Notamacropus eugenii: one gene and its partners. The protein of the gene in region 1 purifies or fractionates together with the protein of each later gene. This does not show direct contact. Links are inferred from orthologs where the notes say so. Each region holds a gene or a part of one and is shown in the gene's direction. Other genes may lie near its edges. The genes, in order: protein argonaute-1, TARBP2 and TNRC6C.

Region 1 (7,845 bases):
ATAAAATTGCTTTATTTGTTACCCTTTCTTCATTTCTTTCTATTTTTTAATTTTTATTTTCAGTTCCAAATTCTCTCCCTTCCTCCTCTCTCTCTCCCATCCATTGAGAACACAAGAAATACAATATCCCTTATACATTTGAAGTCATCCACATTTCTTTTAGAATAACATCATTTCCTTTAAAAATAAATTATATTGACCTATTGTGTTCAAAATATCTCATAACTAATTTCCCATTTTGATAGGACAACTAAATCTGTAGGTTGGGAGAATACTATATATGAAGTATTCTTTAGCAAAGGGTAGAAATCTGAAGCGTATTTCATCACTGTGTGTGCTGGAGGTACACTGAGGATTTTCACTGGGGAAGTAAAGTCTGAAAGACATTGGAGGTGCTACTACTGAAATGTATGCTTAGAGGTAAGGATGAGGCTATGTAAGAGGTGAGGAAGACAGGGAGAGATTGTGCCTGCTTATCAAATTTGCATGCTAGTGGGTAGATTGGCCCTTTGCCTTTGCAAGACCTTCCAGTCCGCTATTCAGTTCTGTTGTCAGGCGAAGAGGAGAGAGACGGCTTCTGCAGGTCAGGTAGCTGCTGGCAGGCTGCTGTTTGCTGCTGCTGCTGCAACTGATTGCCACTGCAGCCTGAGCTGAGAGTGGCGGGAGAGCTGGGACTGTTCCTGGAGAGCAGCGCTGTCGGGGTTCCTGGGATAGAGATGAGAAGACATCTTGGAAGTGAGATAGACCGACCAGCCCGGAGAGGTGAGCACATAGGAAAAATGGACTGGGATCTGCTATGAAACCTTATTGGCTGGTGGGAAGGCCAGGCGACCAATCCTAATCCAAGCCTCCTCACTCCCCTCTGCTTCCCTGCTTTATCTGTTCCAGTTTAGAACCTGGAGCCAGGGCCTAGACAACAGCATCACACCATACCCTCATTCTTTTTCCACAACCTGTGGCTGAGGGATGAGGAATTAGGAAATAAATGGGCCAAGTGTTCCAATATAGGAGCATTTAATGATTTCCTTTGCAATTTTATAAATATCTACTACATCATATGGCCAGATAAAACTGTTTTCTTGTGTAATATAAATATAAAGGTTAAAAATTGAGCTTTTTCCAGTAATTTATATGCTATGTTTCCTCAATCCCTGGTCTAGATTCAGAACCTAGTTAAAGAAGGTATCCTTCTTGTTCAGCCCCATGAAACACATGGTTTGCTTGGCAGGGTGGGTAGTTGGCATAAACTAAAAGAGATATTAGTATATATTTCTATTCTTCAGTGCCTGGATTAAAGATACCTTGAATGGATCACTGGGCTGGTAGTTTGGTACAGCACCAAGTGGTGGGAAAATTCTGAACTCTTTTATTTTATAGCTAATAGCAAACTGGCACTTTATTTTCCTGAGAGCTCAAGGAAGAAAAGCCCCAGCTGATGTGGGCTGCTATGGCAACAATAGTGTCTCAAGCCTCATCTGGAATACCTATCAAAAGGTCCTATATAATTCAACATTTTTGTCATTGTCTTTGAAGAAAGCTTAGATGGCAGGCTTATCAAACTTACAGACAACAGGAAGCTGTGGGGGCCAGCCAACATAGTGGATGACTGAGTACCAGTCCCAGATCTCTGAATAGGCTAGACCAAGGGTCTGTATAAAACGAGGTGAAACTTAAAAGCACATAAAGCCCACACCACTGTTACAAAAGCATTTGACATAATCTCCCATGCTAGACGTACAGATAAGGTGGAGATAGTTAGGTTGGATGGCATTATGTTTGGGAGTTTTTGAAAGTGGACAAATGATTGACCCCAAAGAATTATAACCAATGGCCTGAAGTTAACTTGAAGGAAGTATGACCAAAAGAAGGTGGCAGGATGGTGAGAAGTCCAGGGAGCATATCATATAATGATAAAAAAATTGGGGAATAGTAAGTAGGAGATAAAAGCTGTCTTCAAGTATCTGCAGGGCTGTTACCTGGAAGAGGCTTATTTAGGTTTAATGTAGGAAGAAACTTAACAGTTAAGAATGAACTTTCTTGGAAGATAAAGAATTTTATCTCTCTTCAAGAGAAATCTAGATGACCACTTGTTGGCCATGTTATAAGTGATTCTTATTCAGATATCTGTTGGATTAGATGGACTCTGAGATCCCTTTTGAGGCTGAGATTCTAATCACTCAGTTTCAAAGGGGCTAAGTCACTTGCTCCCCATGGAAGTGACTGTGCCAGTTAGTAGCAGAACTTTGACTGAGGTCTTTTGACTTCTAATGACCAAATAAACATGGTCTGTTTGGTTGGGGTTTTTTTATGTTGATGTTTAAAAAACACCATTCTATCAAATAAAAAGCAATGTGTATGAAGAATTCAGAGAAGCATGAGAAGACATATGAACAGATGCCAGGAGATGTAAGCAAGGTTAGGAAAGCAACATGCATAATAATTGAAAAATCAATGGAAGGAAAAACAAAAATGAAATGAAAGAGTGAATGTACTTTCCTTCTTTGTAGATGTGGAGGACTCTGTATAGAACTTTGCATATACTCTAAAAGTTGGTGAATATTTTGGTTATTTTGCTGAACTGCTTTTTTCCTCTGGCTTTTTTTTTGCAAGGGACAACTTTCTGGGGAGGTAAGAGGAGAGGGATTGAATATATTTGGAGGCAAAGGTGATGTAAAAAAAAAGATATCAAAAAATGTTTAAGGTTCCGCTAAAGCCTGAGATATGTTCAAACTGGGCTTAGGAAGGAAAGGCCATTTGGGTGGCATGCTTAACTCCAAAGGCTGTGCTCCTTAGGGTGATCATCGTATATACCATGTAACCTGGGATAATTCCCGCTTCCTTTTCTCAAACTACTATTGTTGGTACTAATACCTATATTCTTTCTGGCATTTTTGCATCAGCATCTTTTCATCTATAATATTTTATTCATTCTGTTAGTTTTTCTTTTATTATTTCTTTGATTTTACCTTTTCTGAAAAATAATTTTCTTTGAGTAGAGCCTTGAGTTAGCCATGACCAACGTTTTTTTTTTTTTTTAATGCTGAGGCAAACATCATAAAACATGCCCTGACGTCAGCCTTTTGGACAAACACAAGTGGTGGCTGGGTGTCAAAAACCCTAGGACAAAATCCTGGGATATGGCAAGGAAGCTCTATCACAGGTTGAGCTTGCCATCTGGTAGCTTTACATTTTAATTAATTCTTGTTAACTAGGTGCTAAGCTAAGTATTTTCTAGCTGCTAAAGTAATGTAAGTACTGTTAGCAACTGGGACTATGTCCCAGCCACCCCACCCTAGTTATAGCTCTGCTCTTCTGCTAATCCTGCCTCTTTTTACTGGCATTTCCACTGTAGTGTCTGAGGGGATATTTATCTGAGGGGAGTAACACTTTCTCTTGTATGACCTGTCTCTTTGCATCTTCAGGGAAGTCCTAATTAATTGCCTTTCTCATTTTGCTTCTTTGGGTCTTCAGAAGTCTAGTTCTTCTGCAAAGAACCTCAGTATCTGGTCTAACCCTCTTTACTTTTACAGACAGGGAAAGTACTGAGAGAGGTAATTTGCCTAAAGTACAGCTAAGGAGTATGGTTCTGACCATTTCATTTCCCTGCTCAAGAAACTTCAATGGTTTACTATTTTGTATAAGATAAAATAGGTGCACGTATTTGCTATTTAAAGCTATCAGGCTACAGCCTACCTTTCTAGACTGCTTTCATATTACTCTTCAGTCATTCTACATTCCAGCCAGAGTGGCCCACTGGATGGCCCTCATAAAGGAGGGACACTTCCACTTCCCTTGCCCTTGCCTTTGCAGAGGATATCTCTCCCGCCCCCTCTCCTCATGCCTGGAATGTTCTCCTTTCCCTCTGCCTCTTGGAATTCCTAGGCTCAGCTCAAGTACCACCTGCTATCCGAGATCTTGTCTAATTTCCCCAGTTGTTAGTTTCATTAAGTTACTTAGTATTCATTTTTATATATTTTGTATTTACTCGGGTGTATATCTGTTTCACACTCAGTAACAGTAAACTTCTTGAGGGCAAGAACTATTTCTTTTTGCCTTTGTGTCCCTAGACTTATGAATATAGTAGGTGCTCAATAAAGACATTAAATCAAATTTATTTAGTAGAACTCAGCTCTCCTTCCTCCATAGTTCTGCGCTCATTTCCCTCCCTGGCGTTGTTTGGTATAGTGATAATGATAATTAATCATAATAATACATTTCTCTTGTGCTTTCAGGTTAAAAAGTGCTTTTCTCACTACAAAACCACCCCCAGGGAATAAGAAGTGTCATCCATATTATCTCTATTTTGCAGATCAAGGAATTGAGGCTCAGAGACTAATTGACTTGCGTCTTTTAATAAAGCTCCCCTTAAGATCAGGTCGGGAGCAACTCAGTGTGCTTCTGGTATTCCCTGGGTGGGTGGGAGTGCTGGAGGTACCGTTGCCCCAGGCTGCCTTCGTCAGACAAAAGATTCTGGGCTACAGAGCCGGGGAGAATGCTGGCCCCGGGCCAGTGTTACGCTCTCGGCTTCCAGACTCCCCCTCCCCCATGCTAGTCTAGCAGGGCCCCTCCCTCGTTGGGAGAGCCCTGGGGTGCAGATGCAATCCCACCTGCTCAGCTGCGGAGCCTGAAGCTCAGAGCCGAGCCTCGAGCCGCGAGTCTGGCAGTGGGCTCGGCGTGCAGCGCCGCCGACTGGGCGGTAGGGGGCGGGCCACTCGGAGAGCCTTCTCTCCCTCCCTGCTCCGCTGGCCTTTGTTGCTGTTGGAGAGACGGGCTTGACTTGTTCCCGTCCACCCTCTCGGCCCTGGGGCGGGCGCGCCTGCGCACTTAGGGCTGGCCGGCTGCTTGCAGGGAGAGCTTGCAGCAGCGGCGGCGGCGGGCGGGAGCAGCCGGGGTGGGGGGGGGGGAGCGGAGCCCGGCCCGGGAGCGGGAACCACGGGAGCGACGGAGGCCCGGGCCCCCCCACGCCGTGCACCAGACTCTCTCCCAGCCGCCTGACCTACACACGGGTATATGGGATGGAAGCGGGACCCTCGGGAGCAGGTAATGGCCTGTTTGAGGGGAGGCCTGGGTGCCACAGGGGGGCGGGGGCTCTGTGTGTGGGTGCGTAGGGGTCTGTGTCACTAGAGAAGGGGAGGGGGACTTGTGAGCATGGATGTGTGCATGTCTGGGAGGACAGGGGAGAAAGGCCTGTGCACCTGCGTGGGGGGCTGTGTGCATGGAGAGGGGGGGCAGTACGTCTGCAAAGTGAGGAGGGGGTCTTGTATGCTTGGAGGTGGCGGGGGAAGCTTCAGTGCACCTGCGGGGAAGGGAGAGGCTTGGATCTATGGGGAAAGGGCTTCTTGAGATTCTGAGACTTGTGTTTGTGGAGGGGGGGAGGATCGAGGCCCGGGTTCCGGAGATGAGGGTATCTCCTGGCTGCAGGGGAAACCCTGTGTACACAGCATGGGAAGGGCTCTGAGTATGGGTTTTGGTGGTACCTGAGGATTGTTGAGGTTCCCAAGCCTGGGCAAATGGGGGACACTGAGGTAGGATGGGGGTCAAAATTCGAGCTCAGGAGAATGCGTTCGTAGTGCTGGGGCGGGGAAACCAGAGAACTGGGGGCTCAGTCTGAGCAGAGGGATGAACCTTCGGGGAGGGGGATGCTCCTGGTGTTTGGGCTGCGGTGGGGGAAGGGAAGTGAGGCCGCGATAGAGGCTGGGGGTTTGGATGGAGAGGGGGATAGGGGATCAGACTCTGGATCCTGTGAGAGAAGGCGGCTTTGGTGTTCCACAGTTGAAAAAAGTAGAATTGGGGGAAGGGGCCTGAGGTCTGGGGGCGGTGGAGAGAAGTGGTGAGGGGTTGGGGGGGGGGGGGGGGGCCCAAGCCCCGAGCATGCGCAGAGCTGGGTTGCGTTGAGTCGGTTTGGGGTCCGGGTGGGGTGGGGGCGGGGGCGGCAGGGGGAGGAGACCCTGTCTCCGAGATTCCATAGGCTATGGGATTTGGGGGAGTTTCCCCCTTGCTGGATCCTAGGGACGCCTTACGTTTGGGGTGGCCAGCATAGCTCCTTTCTCTGATGCATAGGAGGAATTGGAGGGGCAGAAATATGAGCATTTCAAGGCCTAGAAAGTGATGTTGATTTCAGTTCGTGGAGACAGATGTGAAGGTTCATCGGCCTGGAAACTGACATTGATTGGGTTGGGGCGAGGACTAATAGATTCGGACACTGGTTTGGGGAGGGGCTCCTGAGATAGAAGGAGCCTAGCGCCGGAATATTGATGGGGAGGCGGAGCGAGGTTGGAAATCTGGGAGAAAGAGCCTGTCTGGTCCCCGGGTTTGCCTCCAACATCGGGTCTGATTTTTTCCTGCTGGGTTTGGTTTGTTGGAAGGTTTGGAGAATGCCCAGGTCCGCCCCCCTTCCCTCCCATTGAGGAGGTGTGTGAGGTTTTGGGTTCTTCTCCCCCTTTCGGTATGTGGGGGGAGAATCAGGAATTTAAATCCACGCACAAAGCCTGGTTCGTTTGGAACGTCTTTGGGTGTCAAGATTTCAGAACATTTAAAAAAAAAAATCCCTTTCCCAGCCCTGCTTTCAGTAAGGGTCTGTGGAGTGAGCCAGCCGGCGTTCTCCCCTCCCCCACCCAGAGCAGCTGTCAGGGCCCTGGACACAAAACAATCCAGGCCCCTGCTGCCTGCTGCCTTCTACTATACACACTTTGGGGGACTGGGGGAGGATGGGGAGTGTTGCTACTAAGTTAACCCCATTGTAAGTCAGCTTTTGTTGGGGTGGTAGAGATCAGCTTCACCGGCCTTTCATGATTAAGAAGAAATGGAGGAAACAAGAAATGGAGGGAAACTGAGGCAAGTCAATCCAGAAGTTGAAAATGCTGGAGTCTAGATACTCAGTGAGGTTTGGAGGCTATCCTGTTTCTTTCTGTTCCCCAAACTAGAAGGCCATCAGGGAACGATGCTATAGGCCCTCTCCCACCCACCCATCGGGTGGGAGAGACATTAAGGACTGACATTTCTTCTTCAGGTGGTGGACCATGAATTGGTGGACCAGGTGCAGGCAGGACAAGAATTAAGAGAGTGTCAGTGATTTGAGCGCCTCCCCCTCCTTCTCTCCTAATTCCAAGTCCAGCAATCTTTCCTGTACACTTTGGTGCCTTTACAGTGAACTTTTCTGTAGTGCTTTAAGGTTCACAAAGTTCCTTACATATAATATTTCCTTTGGTCCTCACAGCCACCCTACTTGTTGAGGTAGGTGCTACTATTATTTCCGTTTTATGGGTAAGGAAATTGAGGCAGAGAGAGATTGTGATCACACATAGGACTAGTAAATAGGGACCATGTCTCTGTCTCCTCAAAGTATTTTCTCAGCAACAGTCTTATGGATCAGGACAAATCATTTCTTACCACAACCCACGTAAGGAGGCTAAAAATGATGACGCCTGCCACCCTGGCTGCTTAGGTGCCTGTTTCCAAGGGAGTTTTAAGTAGGTACCTGGCAGGCTGGACTGCAGGCTGTTGTTGGAGAACTGATGGTGATTTTTCCCCTTCTATCCTCATGTTCCCCATATAATAATAGGTGACATTTATGTAGCACTGTTAGGCTTGTCATAATAATAATAGTAGTTGACATTTATGTTAATGCTTTAAAATAGGCTACACAAATATTCTCATCTGAGATTCATGAGAACCTGTGAGCTCCATGTTAAAGTATCATTACCCTATTTTGCAGATGAGAAAGCTGAGGTTCATAGAGGTAGAAGTGACTTGCCCATGATCCCAGGGCTATTAAGTACCCGAGGCAGAATTTGGACTTGCATCTCTCCTAACTCCAGTATTGCTACCGTGTTGCCCGTATTATCG
Region 2 (6,994 bases), on another chromosome or scaffold:
TTTCCTGCCGGTCACTCCACTCCAGCTCAGACATGCTGGTTGTCTGGCTGTGTGGCGGTGTGTTAGTTGGGGGGACGCATTGGGTAGTTGTGGGAGGGGAGTAGCTGTGGGAGTGGAAGTCTGCCTCTGGTAACCCCAGTTTCCAGGATGGGCTGAGGGACAACAAACACTGTTCTCATCCCCTAAATGAAAAACAGGCTTGGAAGGAAGTAAGCATTTGCTGTGTGTAACAGTAGCATCCAGCATAGTTAGATACTATGCTTAACACTTTACAAAGATTCTCTCATTTGATCCTCATAATCATGGGAGATAAGTGCTATTATTATCCCTACCATACACAGCTATACGGTGCAGTGGATGGAACAGTGGGCCTGAATTGGACCTCAGACACTCACTAACTGTGTGACTCTTGGCAAGTTACTTCACCTCTATTTGCCTCAGTTTTTTCAACTACAAAATGGGGGGGGGGGAGGTGCAGTAATAGTAGCACCTACCTCCCAGAGCTGTTGTGAAGATCAAATAAGAGAATATTTGTAAAGCTCTGGGTACACAGTAGGTGCTATATATATAAATGCTTATTCCTTCTTATTTTAGAGTTGAAGAAACTTCAGCAGCAGCAGAAGTTAAATGACTTGCCTGCGGTCACACAGCTGATAACTATGTGAGGCTGGAGTTGAACTTAAGTTATCCTGACTCTAGGCCCAGGGCTCTATCCATTGGGCCCCTAGGTAGGGCTCTTTACAGGAAACACTGAAAGCAGTTGGGCAGAGGAAGCTAGATTTGGCCTTTTTTCGTACCTCACTAATCCAGCTGTGTCACCAATCTGGCTAAAACCCCATGTGTTCAGAGGCTGAGAAAGGACAGAGTTTAATTCAAAATAAGGGTTGTCAAACCTGGAATCAGGGCAGGTGGCTCTATCTACAGGGATACTGGTAGGATCTGGGAGAAATCCTTCACTGTGGCATCGAGGTAGAGTCAGGAGGACCCCAGTTTGAATCTTGCCTCAGACATCTGGTAGCTCTGGGGCCCTGAGCAAGTCACTTATCTTCTCTCAGCCTCAGTTTCCTTATCTGTAAAATGGGGGATAATAACAGTATGGAGCTCCCAGGGCTGTTGTGAGGAGCCAATAAGATACATGTACAGCACTTTGTAAAGCTTGAAGTGCTATAGAAATGCCAGCTATTATTCCTAGCCTGACAGAAAACTGGGTTGCTGGAGAGAACTCAGCTGGATCTTTCTTCCCACCTAGAAAGATAGGCTTGCAGGGTCAGGGAGAATCCCAGCGTCCCACCTAGAGATTCGGCTGCTCTCATCCCAAGGAGTTGGTGAATCTCTGCTCCCGGGGTGAGGCACCCCCTCCCTTCTTAGGGCCAGCTCCTTCCCGGCCCCTCATGCCCTACTTCCTCCGTTTGGGAGCCTTCCCCCTCCTCTGTGCTCCTGTCTTCATCGAACCCAAGGCCGAGGCCAGGGGAGGGATGAGGCGGAGAATGGATGTCACATTGGGGGGGGATGCAACAGCTGGATGGAGGAGGGCTATCCCGCGGGGAGCCAGGCGCCAGGGGGCCTAAGGTCTGGGCACCCAGGAGCAGGTGCCTTCGGTGCTGCAGGCTCCGGCTCTGCCCTGCCAGGTGCGCCAGGCCTTGCCCTGCCCTTCCCGTCTCCCTCCATCCTCCTCCATCCACACTCGGCTCCTCTGCCGGTCCTACCCCCCCCCCCCCCCCTCCCCCGGCCTCCCGCCCGAATCGTCTCCCCCGGCTCTGCCCCAGCCTCCTCCTCCGATCTCCACCCTCCCGCCCCCACCGCCCTGGGGCTCCCATCCCCACAAGCTCGCGGAGCCCCCCATCCCGCCGCGCCCCGCCCCTCCGGGCCGCAGGACCCCCCCACTCCGCGGCGCCCCCCCGGGCCCGGCTCTCACCTGGGGGGCTCGGCCGCGGCCTCAGCACAAAAGGCGGCGCTGCTGCGGCTCTGCTCCGGATGCTGCTCTCGGCTCCTCGCCTCCACCCCTCCCTCCTCCTCCTCCTCCCTCCGCCCCCGCCCGCTGCCCCTGACCGGAGCCGGGGCGGTGTCACGGGCGATGCTCCGGCCCGCCGCGTCCAGGGCCGCGGCTCCTTCCCCCGACCCCCACCCCCCCCCGCCGGCCCGGCCCCCGCCCCTGGCCCTCCGGGACGGACACGCCCTGAGCGGGGGAGATGCGCCGGGAGCCGCCGGCTTCTTAAAGGAGCCCGCTGCTCCCTCCCCGGCCCAGCTTCTAGCTCATCCCCCCGCTCCTGGAACCGAGACCCCTCCCCGCCCCCTCCCCCAGCTCCCCCCGCAACTCGGGTATTGGTTCCCGCTCTGCCTCTCCCCAGGGCCGCCCCCCGCGCCCCTCAAGTTGCCTCTCCAGTCCTCGGGGTCTCCCATGTCCGCCGTCCTCCCTCCAAGACTCAACATTAGTCACAGAGCACCCCTTTCTTCCCCCCCTCCCCTCAAACTCGCCCCAGCTCTCTCATGTTCCCCCATCACCTGGGTCCAGCCAGGCCTTTTCCTCTGCCTACATCCCAGCCTGACGGGATCCCGCTCAGGACCCCTCGGGGCACATTTTTTCAACTTCTTTCCCCCCACACAGATGAAAATAAAAACGGTCTTCCTTGCTTCCCCTCTGTCCCTTCTTTTCCTCCAAGACCCCCCTCATCCTAGAGCTCAACAAAGGAAGCTTTTGGATTCAATGGGAGCCGCGGCCTGGGCCTCTGGGCGGACTTCCTCCAGACCTCGTTTGGACCCTCGGGCCCCTTCTTTCGCCGGTCGGCCCGAGAGGCTTAAACCCGTACAAAGATGGTTGGCTGGGGTTGGTTAGGAAGAGGAGGGGTCTCCATAGCTCTTCACCCTCACCACCCCACTCCACTTTCCATCCACAGCTCTAACTCCACTACCATGGACAGTCCCCGAGTGAGTTTCCTTCCATCTTTCTCTAATTGGTCTTTTGGCCCAAACGCTTTCCCCTCCCATCGCAATCCTGTACCCCCCAGCATACTGGTTCCCCGGGATGGGTGAGAGGGAATGGCTAGAGGGCAGGACTTCTCCCTTGCCCTGTTGGCACCTCTCTTTCAGGCTTCTGGGGACAAAGGAAACACGAGGAATTTGGGGGTCCTCTGGGAGGGGATGGGGTTACTTGGTGCACAGGAGTTTACCCAGGCAGGGTCAGGTGAATGATGCACCCGGGGGGGGGGGGGAGCGGGGAAGAAAACAAGGACTGGGGCTCAGAACACCGAAGCAAGAATGGGGTGCGGATTCTGTAAACTGGGGGACGCGATGGATTTCCAGGAGCGCTCACTGCCCCCGCTCCCCTCCCGTCTCCAGCAGGAAGCCCTCACTCCCCGGCACACTGCAGGGTTCTGCCGGCTTCTCCAGGCTCCCCTCAGGGGGCGGGTCCCTCAGCCAATCACAGGTTCTCCTGGGAAAGAGTCCATAGCGCCCAATGTTCCGTGGTGCCCCAACCCCGCTCCCCAAGTCTCTGGTCCTCTCGCTTTTCCCTTCGGCTCCGAGCGGGCCAATCGCAGGCAGCTGGCTCGGAGGGAGTTGGCAGGAGGAGCCAATCGACGTGGCTGTACCCGTGGCGCGTGCTGGGCACCACCCCTTCAAGGGGAACTCGCTCAGCGGCCACGAGACTTCTGGATCTTGTAGTTTTCCAGGCTCCGCCCATCATCCTCCAGCACGCATGCTCACAGCATCATCCTCGCACACCGAGGAGGGCAAAACAGTGAGCGAGTTTGGGGGGGGGAGGACGACTCTTCCCAGAAGCCACTGCGACCTGGGTGGGCTAACTCCCCCGGAGAATTGTGGGGCGGGTAGCCTCGCTTCTCATGGAGGCCAATGGAATGGGGAGGATCGAGGACTACAAGTTCCGGCATGCTCCGCGACGCCCCCCCCCCCCCCCCCCCCCCCCGCCCACCTCTTTCCCCCGGCCCCGGCTCCGGCCCCGGCCCCAGCCCATGCTCGTTGGCGGCGGCGGCGGCGGCGGCTCGGGGCGCGCGGAGCCTGCAGTCACGGTGGCGCCCGCAGGGACGGAGGAGGGAATGAGTGAGGAGGAGCAGGGTTCCGGGATCATCACAGCCTACGGACTCCCCAGGTGAGTTGGCCGACTCACACTGACCCCTGCAGGGCGGAGGCCGCAGTGCGGGAGGGAGGCGGAGCGCGTAGACCCAGCATGCACCGGGTCTTGGAAGGCTGGGGCTGGGGGTTGGGGGTGAGGAGGGGTGGTTAGCCCAGCCACGGGACGGGACGGGACGGGACGGCACTGCGGTGGGGGGGGTTATTCCCAGCAGCCACCACGGCACGGGCTTTTCTGTTCCCACCATGCACCACGGTGGTGGCTGCTAAGGACCCACCATGCACTTGGGTGGAGGCTACCCAGCTTTCAGCGTTTACTTGATTTCCCAGAATGCCCCGAGACAGCGGCCCCCTTTGTTCCCCGCATGCCCCAGGGCTGTAGGCCCTGAGTTTCCCATCATGCACTTGGCCGGAGGAGCCAAGGATGCTAGACTCGGGGGCATTGGCCATGAGCCCTCTGTTCCTCACTCCCTAAGGGCGCCCAGGGGGTGGTCGTCAGCATGCCCCTCCCCGCGCCCTCTGGCTCCCCTCCCCGCCTCTGGACAGCTGGTGGAGCTGCTCCTCGCCTCCGCCCCGATACCCCTGGGCCCCTAGCCATCCCGCACCCCGGGTGCCAGCCGGCAGTGCCCGTCAGTGGGGGGTCCGAGAGGGACCACGATGCAGGCCTGTGTACCTCCCCCTAGTATAGAGCAAATGCTGGCGGCCAGTCCCGGCAAGACCCCAATCAGCCTTCTGCAGGAGTATGGCACCAGAATAGGCAAGACTCCCGTGTACGACCTCCTCAAAGCCGAGGGCCAAGCCCACCAGCCCAATTTCACCTTCCGAGTCACCGTCGGTGACACCAGCTGCACTGGTGAGGGGGCGTCGGGTGCCCTGGCCAGGGGTGCGTGTTCTCAGGACCTCCACCGGGCTTCGCCTGGGGGGAGGGGCCTTTACTTTCCTCCCAGGGGCTGGGGGCGGGGTGTCTGAGCCTCAAGTGCTTCTGAAAGTCAGCTGGAACCAAGAGCATGCTTAGGTATGGGGGAGGCGGGAGGAACTTAGGAGCCTCCTCTTGGTCGGGGTGTCATCTGCAGCCCCAGAGGGGCAGAATGCTGTCAGACACAGGGATCACCTGATTTTACTTAAGTATGCTTCTCCAGAATAATGAGAAAGAGTTCTTTTGGTGGGAGGGCACTGGAAAAGGATAGGTTTCTTAAAAACATCGATGAAGTATTTTTAAAGGACTGAGAGTAGATTGTGAGATACTAGAAGAGATTAACAGACACTGCTAGGGAAGTGTCTGTCTGGAATGGCCTGATTCTAGTCCTGCATGGTGGTGGGTGGTGGGGGTAGCAGGAGATGGGGATGAGGGTTCTTCTGGCTCTTGTGTAACCTGCCACCCCTCTCCCAGGTCAGGGCCCCAGCAAGAAAGCTGCCAAACACAAAGCAGCTGAGGTGGCCCTCAAACACTTGAAGGGAGGAAACATGTTGGAGCCGTTTCTGGAGGATGGAAGGTGAGGTGTGTCCAAGTAATTTTTGAGCCCTTGAGAAAACTGCCCTACCCATCTGAGCACCACTTACTACCTGAGTTAGTAATAGGCAGTTTGATCTCTCCCACCATCTACCAACAGCTGAGTCCACTCCCAGGGCATAAAGAGCTGTTTAGTGGCCCCTCGAAGGATCAGTCCTTACGGACCCTGATTTAGGGTTGAAACTTGAGGTCTTAGTCTAATAGGGGATAACCTCCAAGCAAAACTCCTTTTTCCTATTGTTTACATTAGACTGTGAAGGAGTCTTAGTACAGTGGTCATTCACATTGGCTGAGCCGAGCCCCTATTGAGGGGCCCTTGTTTTAGTCATGTCCAACTCTTTATGACCCCATTGGGGGTTTTCTTGGCAGACATACGGGAGTGGTTTGCCATTTCCTTCTCCAGCTCGTTTTACAGAGGAGGAAATGGAGGCAAACAGGGTTGAGTGACTTGGCCAGGGTCACACAGCTAGCCAGTGTCTGAGACAGGATCTGAGTTCAGGAAGATGAGTCTTCCTGACTCCAGGCCTAGTTCTTTGTCCACCACTGCCCAGAGAAGAGGTCCTTAGGGAGGGTAATTGTTTGAGGAGATTGATTCCCACAGGGACCTCTGCCCTGTCCATATTTCCTCTTCTCCTGCCAGTCTAGACACTTCTAAAAATGCTAAATCCTAAATACCTCCAAAATTCTAAATACGTCTTTTGGCTCTTTGAGTAGAAAAACTTCCCCATTCCGCTGAGAGGCCATTGGCTCTGTCTTCTTTTGGGCTTCCTTCTGATGGGTGAGAAGACAGTACAGGATGGGGAGAAACATGTTCCCCAGTCCTTGGGAAGTTGTCTTCTTAGAATGCCCGCTCTCTGCTGATACCCCTGTTGCTGGGCCTGATTCACACCCCACCTCACCTCAGCAGCAAGCAAGGCTTCAAGGAGTGAAGGGAGTTGGGAGTGGTTCACCTTCTGCCTTGGGCAGGTCTTTTCTGAGCCCCAACAGGCTAAGACTGAAACCAAGCCGCCTGTCTATCCTTGTCACATAGTGAAGTCCAGCAATGCTGGGGGATGCCTGAGGGGAGGAGTGGTGGAGCTGATACCAGCAAGTGGAGTTGGGGGCAGGAAGACTGCCATGTGTCCTCAAAGAGATGGGCTGTTTCTGTGCCCTACTCTTTGGGACTAGAGATAGTTGGCTTGACCTGGGACAGATGGTACCTGTGACTTTCTCTCCTCTCTTTGGTCAGAACATGTTCCATATTCTCAAATCTAAAGTCTAGAGTTCTTCAAAATAGCTATTTCGAGGGGAGCAGACAAGTCTTCTATGGTGTGGGAGTCTTTATTTCTCAGGGTGGGGAAGCCTGTTTTCAGCAGCGGAGACTAAGGCCATATGTTTGGAAGGACTTCCTGCCCATTA
Region 3 (7,815 bases), on another chromosome or scaffold:
GAAGAAAGCATCGTCTCTTTTAGAGGGCCATCACAATATTCAGTACATATTGCCTCTTACTTGGTTTCCCTGTTTCCAATCTCTATATCCTTCTACCAGGATCATCTTCTCAAAGCATATTTTGACTTTGTCATTCCACTGCTGAAAATTTTTTAATGATTCCTTACTCTCTACTGCTAAGAATGAGCTTAATTCCACAGTTTCTCACAAAAGCATGCTTCTTATGTAATCTATACCCCAGAAAATTAAAGTATTTTCAGAAGGGTCTGAATGGAAGGTAGCTTAGATGGTATGGTTGAGAGTTATGTCTGTATGACTCATATTAGGGTCGATTCTAGAGAAATAGCATAATGTTCTAGATTCATAAAAATATTAGCTATTGTCTATTAATCTTAGCCTTAACCTTACTCCTAAGGTTCCAGATTTCTCAGTCTTCCATTGAACCCCTAATTAGCCTCCCTACTTCCAATTACTCCCCTTTCTAACCCAAGTTCCACACATCTGCCAAATTGATATTCCTAAAGCACATGTCTGACCCTGTTCCTATCCCTCTCAAGCACTCCAGTGACTCCCTATTGCTTCTAGGATAAAATACAAACTCTTCTACCTGACATTTAAAACGCTTCACAGTTTTTTAACTCCAACCTATTCTTCTACATTGATTTCTCAATAATCATTCTAGCCAAAGTAGCTTACTTGTTAGTACATGTATTTGACACTCCACCTCTTCACTCCAAGTCTTTTCACAGGCCCAGGGTCATATATCTAGTAAGTGTTTGATGGCTGGATTTTTGAACTCAGGTATTCCTAACTCAAAATGGAGTGCTCTATCCACTGTATCACCTACTGATTCTAGGAATAAGTCTAAAACTTAGCTCAGTTCCTACATGGTATTGGTCCCACCAACTCCATATCCTTCTGGATGAGTTCTTCCAATGTACTGTAATACCAAAGATCACTTCAAAACATCATTCCTTGCTCATAAGGCCATCAATACTTCAATAAGTGCAAAACTCAGCCTGGATTCCTGTAGATCACTCTCCTGAACAAGAACTCCATTCCCTTCACTTAGAATGGGTAAGAAGAATGAGAGAACCGGGAATGACTAAAACAAGAATGTTAAGAACAAAAACAGAGGCCCATTTTGGGGTTGGAGGGAAAGGGTATGTGACATATGGCCTCAGAGCCCTTTACTACATGGTCTTTTACTGAATGCTCTGAAAGAAACAGGCACTTAGCTTCCTCAGACACAAATGAAAGAAAGGGATAGTGGAAACCGATTCAGGCCTTTTTGAGAATACTAACAGTTCTAGATATGCAACCAACTGAAAAAAGCTCCTTCCAACAACACAATTACCCAACCAGAACCAGTTACAGAATGTTCATGTACGCTCCACAGTCTCTTCATGGCACTGTCCTTATATGTTGTCAAGACTTCCCCAGAAGTAAACTCCCTAGCATCTTCTATGTGGATAAGTTGCAACAGCTGAACAAGCTGAGAGAGTCTGTACATGTGTTGTCTCCCATCATACTCCTTTTAACTCTTAAAAGAATAATAAAACTAAAAACTTTAAATATTTAAAAACTTTAAAAAATAAAAAACTCTTACAGAATAATAAAATATCAGAATCAAAAAGGACCTAGTGATGCTAGAACAAAATACAGACATTCTTCCTACCATGCAAGAATTCCTTCTACACCTTTGACTTGAGCCACAAGAGCTCAGCTCACTTACTAGATGGTTCATGCCATTGTTGGACAGCTCTAATTACAATGCAGTATTTGCTTATATTAATGCAAAATCTGACTTCCTGCAATTCATACTTATTCCTTCTTGTACCATGGTTTGCAGTAATACAGAAAGTCTATTTCCCCTTTCCATGTAACAGGCCTTCATACATGTGAAGAAAGATATTATGTCACATTTATCGTTACTTCCGTACACTAAACATTCCCAGTTTTCTCAGTGTTTCTGATATGACATGATCTATAAACCTTTCACCCAGTTCATTTATATACAGTGGGAATATTACTTCTCTTGATCTGAACATTAGGCATCTCTTAATGTAATCTGAGATTACATTAGCTCTTTAACAGCTCTGTAACACTTTTGTACACATTGAGCTTTGGTCCACTAAAATCTCTAGGTCTTCTTTGCATAAACTGCTGTCAAACTGTACTTCCTCAGACTACACTTGGGCAATTGGTTGTTTTTAAGATGAAAGACAGGATTTGGGCCTGTCATTTTATTTTAAAAGATTTTTCCAGCTTATTTTATCAGCTAATACTTTTGCCATTAGGACTTTTAAGTCAGAAGTTGAAGGTATGGACTAGAGGAAAGAACTGCTGATAAAGAGGTAGGACAGTAGTAAACACATACCTACCTACTGGACAATTTTGCTTAGGAATTTCCCTGATAATTGATTCCCTTAGGAATTGCAGTATGTGCAGAACACTTACTAGGCTTCATGAAAGTCATACCAAAAAGAAAAGATATCATATTTGTCTTCCAGAAATTACTGTCTAATGAAAAGCTAAACAATTTACATGTTAATAAAAAGAGGAAGGGATTACTACCTCTATTTTAAGGAAGGGGGGAATGAGACATTGAAAAATTGAAGCCACATAGAAAAGGCATCTAATCAGGACAAAGTAGAAGTCTGGTCTTATGTTTTTCATTCTTTTTTTGGTCAATTTAAATTCTACTTATTTACAATATTAACACAAGTCAAACATAGGAATCTTCAAGAATTTCATAAGTTAGTTAATATTTTATATGGTTGAGATATGAAGTTGTTACATTGCCCATGTAGTAGAGGTTGAATTGGTGCCATTACAGACAACCTGAACCCAAAGCTCTCCTAGAAACTTACAGGAATTTCAGGGACAAAGAAACTCAACATCTGAGCAGATATTTGATATGGCAAAGTCCCTGACTGCTAGCAGCCATGTGGACCATGAGTGGGGAACCTGCGGCCTCGAGGTCACATGTGGCCCTCTAGGTCTTCTGGTGAGGCCTTTTGACTAAGTCTAAGTTTTACAGAACAAATTCTTTTATTAAGAGGATTTGTACTGTGAAGTTTGGATACAGTCTAAGGACTGCACTTGATGACCTAGAGGGTCACATACGGCCTTGAGACCTCAGGTTCCCCACTCCTCTAATAATTGCAGAAAGGACTTGTTGCTTTGATAAAGATGCAGAAACCCCTGCATAATTCCATGGTCCTTTTCTACCTACTGATAGAAGTGGTGGGGTGGGGTACTATTTCAGTAAAAGGGAGAGAGTTTTTATCTGGTTTTCTCTCCCTTCCATCTTGCAGATGGCATCATGTAACTGAGATTTCCATTATGGGATAAGGAAGGGCTTCACCCCAACATCATGGTGACCCCATTCACATGACAACTAGTGCAGGGAGACTTATCTGAGCTTGTGTTTGGGACCTTGGCTTTATTTTCCAATTTTGTTTCCTTTCCTTATTTCAGGTGAATAAGTATGTTTCCCAAGACGATTATATGCAGGTAAGATGACCTCGTGAATTCAAAGGTTCAAAGATCCTGGAAAGAACTAAATGATGGGAACAAGGAATCCCAGGAAACTACTCCAGAGTTTTACTGAGATTGAAAAGCAATAAGAGGCTCCAACTTGGTCCATTTTATCAGACTTGTCGAAGTGAACTGTAAAATGCCTAATAATCAATTCCACAAATGGTTTTATGGTTAGCCCTACAGATAGTTTGGTTTAATTCTTACTGTTAATGTGCCCTTATGAGAGTCTTTTGTGTTTTGGTGTGTGTGTGTGTGTGTGTGTGTGTGTGTGTGTGTGTGTGTGTGTATAAGAAATAAATACCCACCCTCATACAAGATTCATATTATGCATAGGGTACCTTTCTACTCCCCAAATTTGGGAAAATCCACCGTGTGAGCCTAAACCTAAGCTACAAGTAAATTTTCCTCCCTGTGGCCTTTCTCCCTCACTGGGCTTTAGCTCTAATAAGCTGAAGTGTGAGAAAAGAGAACCAGATCCTACTCATTAGAGACTGGATTCTCCCAGAACCGAACCCCTTTCAAACCGCATGTCTGGGTCCAGTGCAGATACAGTCCTTCTGGCTCAGTAGGTGTTCTTCAATCCTATACCCTCCTTTTGGGGAGTATCTTGTAATTGTATGCCAACTTTACAGAAACAGGAAGGATGTGAGCTCTTCGAGGACAAGAGTGAAAAGAAGGTGGATAAAATGGTGAGTGGAGGAATCAAGAGACGCTGTCGGGGTTCAATTCTTACTGACTGGTGAAGGTTTTAAGAAAGGCCACCCAGCAGAACCAGAAACCGGACAGCACCTTCGAAAGCTCTGGGAGAGTCTGAGTATGGATGGGAAAGGTAAAAAATGGCCCCAAGAAGGCAGGAGCGCCCGAAGCTCCCGGGAGAAGTGGGACTAAAGGAGGCACGAACCATCCTGCCCCTCGATTAGCGTTATCTCCTTCATCCGCTAGGAAGTCCTCAAAGATGGACAGTACTGTAGTCCCTCCCCGAAGCCTGGGGAGTTACCTAAGCTTTAAAGTAGTGCCTCTGAGCCCGGGGATGCGGAAAGGCGTTTGCCCCAAATGCTGTGCGAAAAAAATGGAGAAAATTGTTGGTTTCGTGAAATTCTTCCGTGCTCTAGCTGGAATTTAAAATAAAAATGCGGTGTTTCCATTCAGCAAACATTTGAGTGCCTCCTGCGTTCAATCGACCCTCTGCGAACAGCGGGGGAGGGGAGGAGGCGGCTTTTAGGCTTAGGACACCTCCGCGAAGGAGGCAGCAGCCGCGCCTAGCCCGAGTGCGGGCGCGTACGCAGACCCCGGGGTGGGCAGAAGGGAAGCGTGCTTGTGTCGCGGCCAAAACATGGATGTCTGCTCGGGGGCTGCTTGGCGTTGAGGTTGGTTTGAGCCGCGGGCAGGGAGTCGGGACTGGGTGGCAAGTGCATGGGGGGGAATGTACCTGGTGGGGTAACTCAGCCAAGGGGGCAGGGGGAGGCTTCCTTTGGGGTCTGTGGGCATGCATGCGTGTTCATGCGTGTGCATGGGTGATGGGGGAGGGGTTCGCGTGTGTGGTCGGCTGGGGCGGGGGGAGGGAACGTGCTTGGGGCCCCGGGGATGTGTGCTTTACTGGAGCTGCTGTACCGTCGCATAAATATCCTGCGCTCCACCTCAGGGCCCTTCTCTCCTCCAAGCTTTTGCTTCGGGGACCGTTCGGATCGATTTTAAATGGAGCTGATGTTGAGACAGGGCCTCCTCTCCCTTCCTGTCCAATGAGATAACACGGAGTCACATCACCAGGACGGGGCGGGGGAGTGGGGGGAGAGCTGGTAATGGAGGAAAGAGAGGAAGAAACTGCGTGGATGCTCCCTCGTACCCCGGAGGCGGGGAGGAGAGGGGAGATGGGGAGTAAGATGGATAAGACTCCTCTGGGCTCGCCAAGACCAGGCCGGTGCTACGGTTTAGGGAGGGGAAGGCAGGAGAAGGCGTGGCGTAACGCCGAGGAACCAGTGGTCGAGGGTGGAGGGGACGCGCTCTGTGGGCGGAGCAGGAGCGAGACCCGGGATTGGCCAGAACTTCTAGTATGCAGATACGGTGGGTGTCACGTGCCAGGGACCGGGACTACTTCCTGTTTGAAGCCGCAGAGGGGCGGGGAAGGGGGCGCGAGCGCCCCGTCTGGCGGGAGAGGGGGAAAGGAGGAGGGGGGGGCAGTTGTCTGAAGGGAGGGAGGGAGGGAGGAGGAGGAGGTGGTGTTCTTGTCAGTTAGAGCAACAAAATGGCCGCGGTGGCAGCTCCGCACCTCAGCGCGAGGGCCCCGGGAGCAGCAGCAGCAGCCGCCGCCGCCCAGCAGCAGTGAACACCTCTCATTGATTCCATCTCCTGTCCGCTGCCGGAGCTGTCTCCTCTCCTGCAGCGCTGTGCTGGACGCCCCCTGGGAGGCCCGCCCGAGCCGTGGGTGGGAGCGGAGTCGGCCCTGCGCTTGCCCGGGTCCGCTGCGGAGCTGCTTCGCCGCCGCCGCCGCTGCCGTTCTGCGGCTCGGGCTCCCCCGTTTGAGGAGGAGGGCTAGTCGAGGCTGCTCGAGGACCTGGACCTGCCCGGACCCGCCGCTGCCGCCTCCTTGCTCTCCCTGCCGCCGCCGCCGCCACCTCCCACCCGCCGCCCGGGCCGGACTCCGCGCAGGCGGGAACCTCTGCCCCTGGCCCCGGTGCTTGACTCCGAGGAGCGGAGAGGGCAAGGGTTCTTTCTGCCGCCGGAGATCCAGCGAAGCCCCCGGGCGGCTCCTGACAGGTTTAAGCCTCCTGCGTTGCCGGAGCCGCGAGCTGCAGCCGCCGCTGGGCCAGGAGCCGAGGTGAGTGCGGCTGGACCCGGGGATGCTCCCCAGGCTGGGAGCCCTGCGCACCGCAAGGTCCGACCTCGGGAGCCCCAACTTGCTCCCAGATGCCGAGAATGTCTTTGTTCGGCCAAGTTGAGGTGTCTGGGTGGGAGGTGCTGGGTAAGCTGCTCGCGAAGGTTGCTTTACCACAAGGATGTAATTCCGCAATTCCATCAGACGCTTGGGGAAAAGGGGGGGGAAAGCTGAGGTCTGTTGTGCTGGCATCACGGTTTTTCCTTTGCCGTTTGGCCAGAAACAAATGATCCCTGGGTGGATTTTTTTATTATTCACTCGTGTTTATTTAAAAAGCAGTGCTGGGGATAGAAAAAGGCATTTTCATTATTGTTATTTGGAAATGCGTTTTTAAATTTCTATGTATTGAACTGCGTTTATGGGCAGTTGTATGATTTGAATCTATCATTTACAAATAAAAGACGCCCTTTTTCCCCCCTTTTTTGGTTTGGCAGTATGGATTTGAGGAAAATCTGTTCCCATTTAAAAGAAGCCTTCACATTATAGACTCGCGTCGAATATAAAATTAAGGGAAACTGGCTTTTACATCTCGTTTGCATATGCATCGAGAAATTTAAAACTCGGATTTTATTTTCTGATGATGGTGATCTTATTGCATATCCATCTCTTCAGGTGAATTTCCTAACGGCATTGTGGGCAGCAAGTGATGTATATGAGAAAAGATGAGCCGTGCAACATCTGTACTGTTAAAAGATAACGTTACTCGGAGTACCTCAATTTCACTTGTTTAAGGAACATTTGTTTCCGCTTGTGATTTGTAAATAGGATTTTAAGTAATTGATCCAGAGCTATTAAGCACGCATATGTAAGTGTAGGATTTCCTGTTTTAAGATACCACTTGTGTGTTAAAGTGAAGTTTGGAAATAAAGGTTGTTTATCCAGTGAACGATTGGAGTAAATGGAGTTTTCTTTTTGGTGGGTAGCACCTATCATATTGTTCTTTGACTGTGATTCTGTATGTAATTAGTTGAATTGTTTCAAATCTTTGACAAAATCCCAACTAAACCTCCATTTGAATGATCTACTATTTCCAGATGTGAATTACAAGTTCGGAACTCAAAATGGTGTACAAATGTCTTGGTAAGTGAAGTGCCTTCAAGGAGTGCTACATCAGGTGTTTAGTAGCTTCTGAGTGGCATATATTGTATTGCCATAGTTTGGCTTTTCCTTCAGTATAGGTGTACTTCAAACGGAAGAGATGGCTATTTCTGGTTATTATCATGCAGATGATTTTTAAACTTCAGAAAAGTAGGACCTTCCTTAAAGTTATTTCAAATGTTTAATTTTGGATCATCAAGAGCAATGTGAATGCACCAAAAATGTGGACTCTTGTTAAGTTTCCTGTTTTCCTCTGGCTCAGGTTGATTGGTCAGTGATTATACGTAGCTAGTGACCAA

The links.
Region 2: the proteins of protein argonaute-1 (region 1) and TARBP2 purify together in Homo sapiens (co-immunoprecipitation; 4 studies listed by BioGRID and IntAct, with this or other methods). This does not show direct contact. The link is inferred for Notamacropus eugenii from reciprocal best matches to the Homo sapiens genes AGO1 and TARBP2.
Region 3: the proteins of protein argonaute-1 (region 1) and TNRC6C purify together in Homo sapiens (affinity purification with mass spectrometry; 5 studies listed by BioGRID and IntAct, with this or other methods). This does not show direct contact. The link is inferred for Notamacropus eugenii from reciprocal best matches to the Homo sapiens genes AGO1 and TNRC6C.

What each region holds. Positions count from the first base shown.
Region 1 is NC_092876.1:83,777,373-83,785,217, reverse strand, and holds the start of protein argonaute-1, read left to right. Parts: upstream 1-4,845; 5' UTR 4,846-5,015; coding exon 5,016-5,040; intron 5,041-7,845.
Region 2 is NC_092874.1:226,513,824-226,520,817, forward strand, and holds the start of TARBP2 (RISC-loading complex subunit TARBP2), read left to right. Parts: upstream 1-3,908; 5' UTR 3,909-3,968; coding exon 3,969-4,105; intron 4,106-4,769; coding exon 4,770-4,969; intron 4,970-5,476; coding exon 5,477-5,579; intron 5,580-6,994. UniProt on the Homo sapiens protein: Required for formation of the RNA induced silencing complex (RISC). Component of the RISC loading complex (RLC), also known as the micro-RNA (miRNA) loading complex (miRLC), which is composed of DICER1, AGO2 and TARBP2.
Region 3 is NC_092873.1:319,097,481-319,105,295, forward strand, and holds the start of TNRC6C (trinucleotide repeat-containing gene 6C protein), read left to right. Parts: upstream 1-4,749; 5' UTR 4,750-4,883; coding exon 4,884-4,913; intron 4,914-6,235; exon of another isoform or gene 6,236-6,361; intron 6,362-6,690; exon of another isoform or gene 6,691-7,815. UniProt on the Homo sapiens protein: Plays a role in RNA-mediated gene silencing by micro-RNAs (miRNAs). Required for miRNA-dependent translational repression of complementary mRNAs by argonaute family proteins.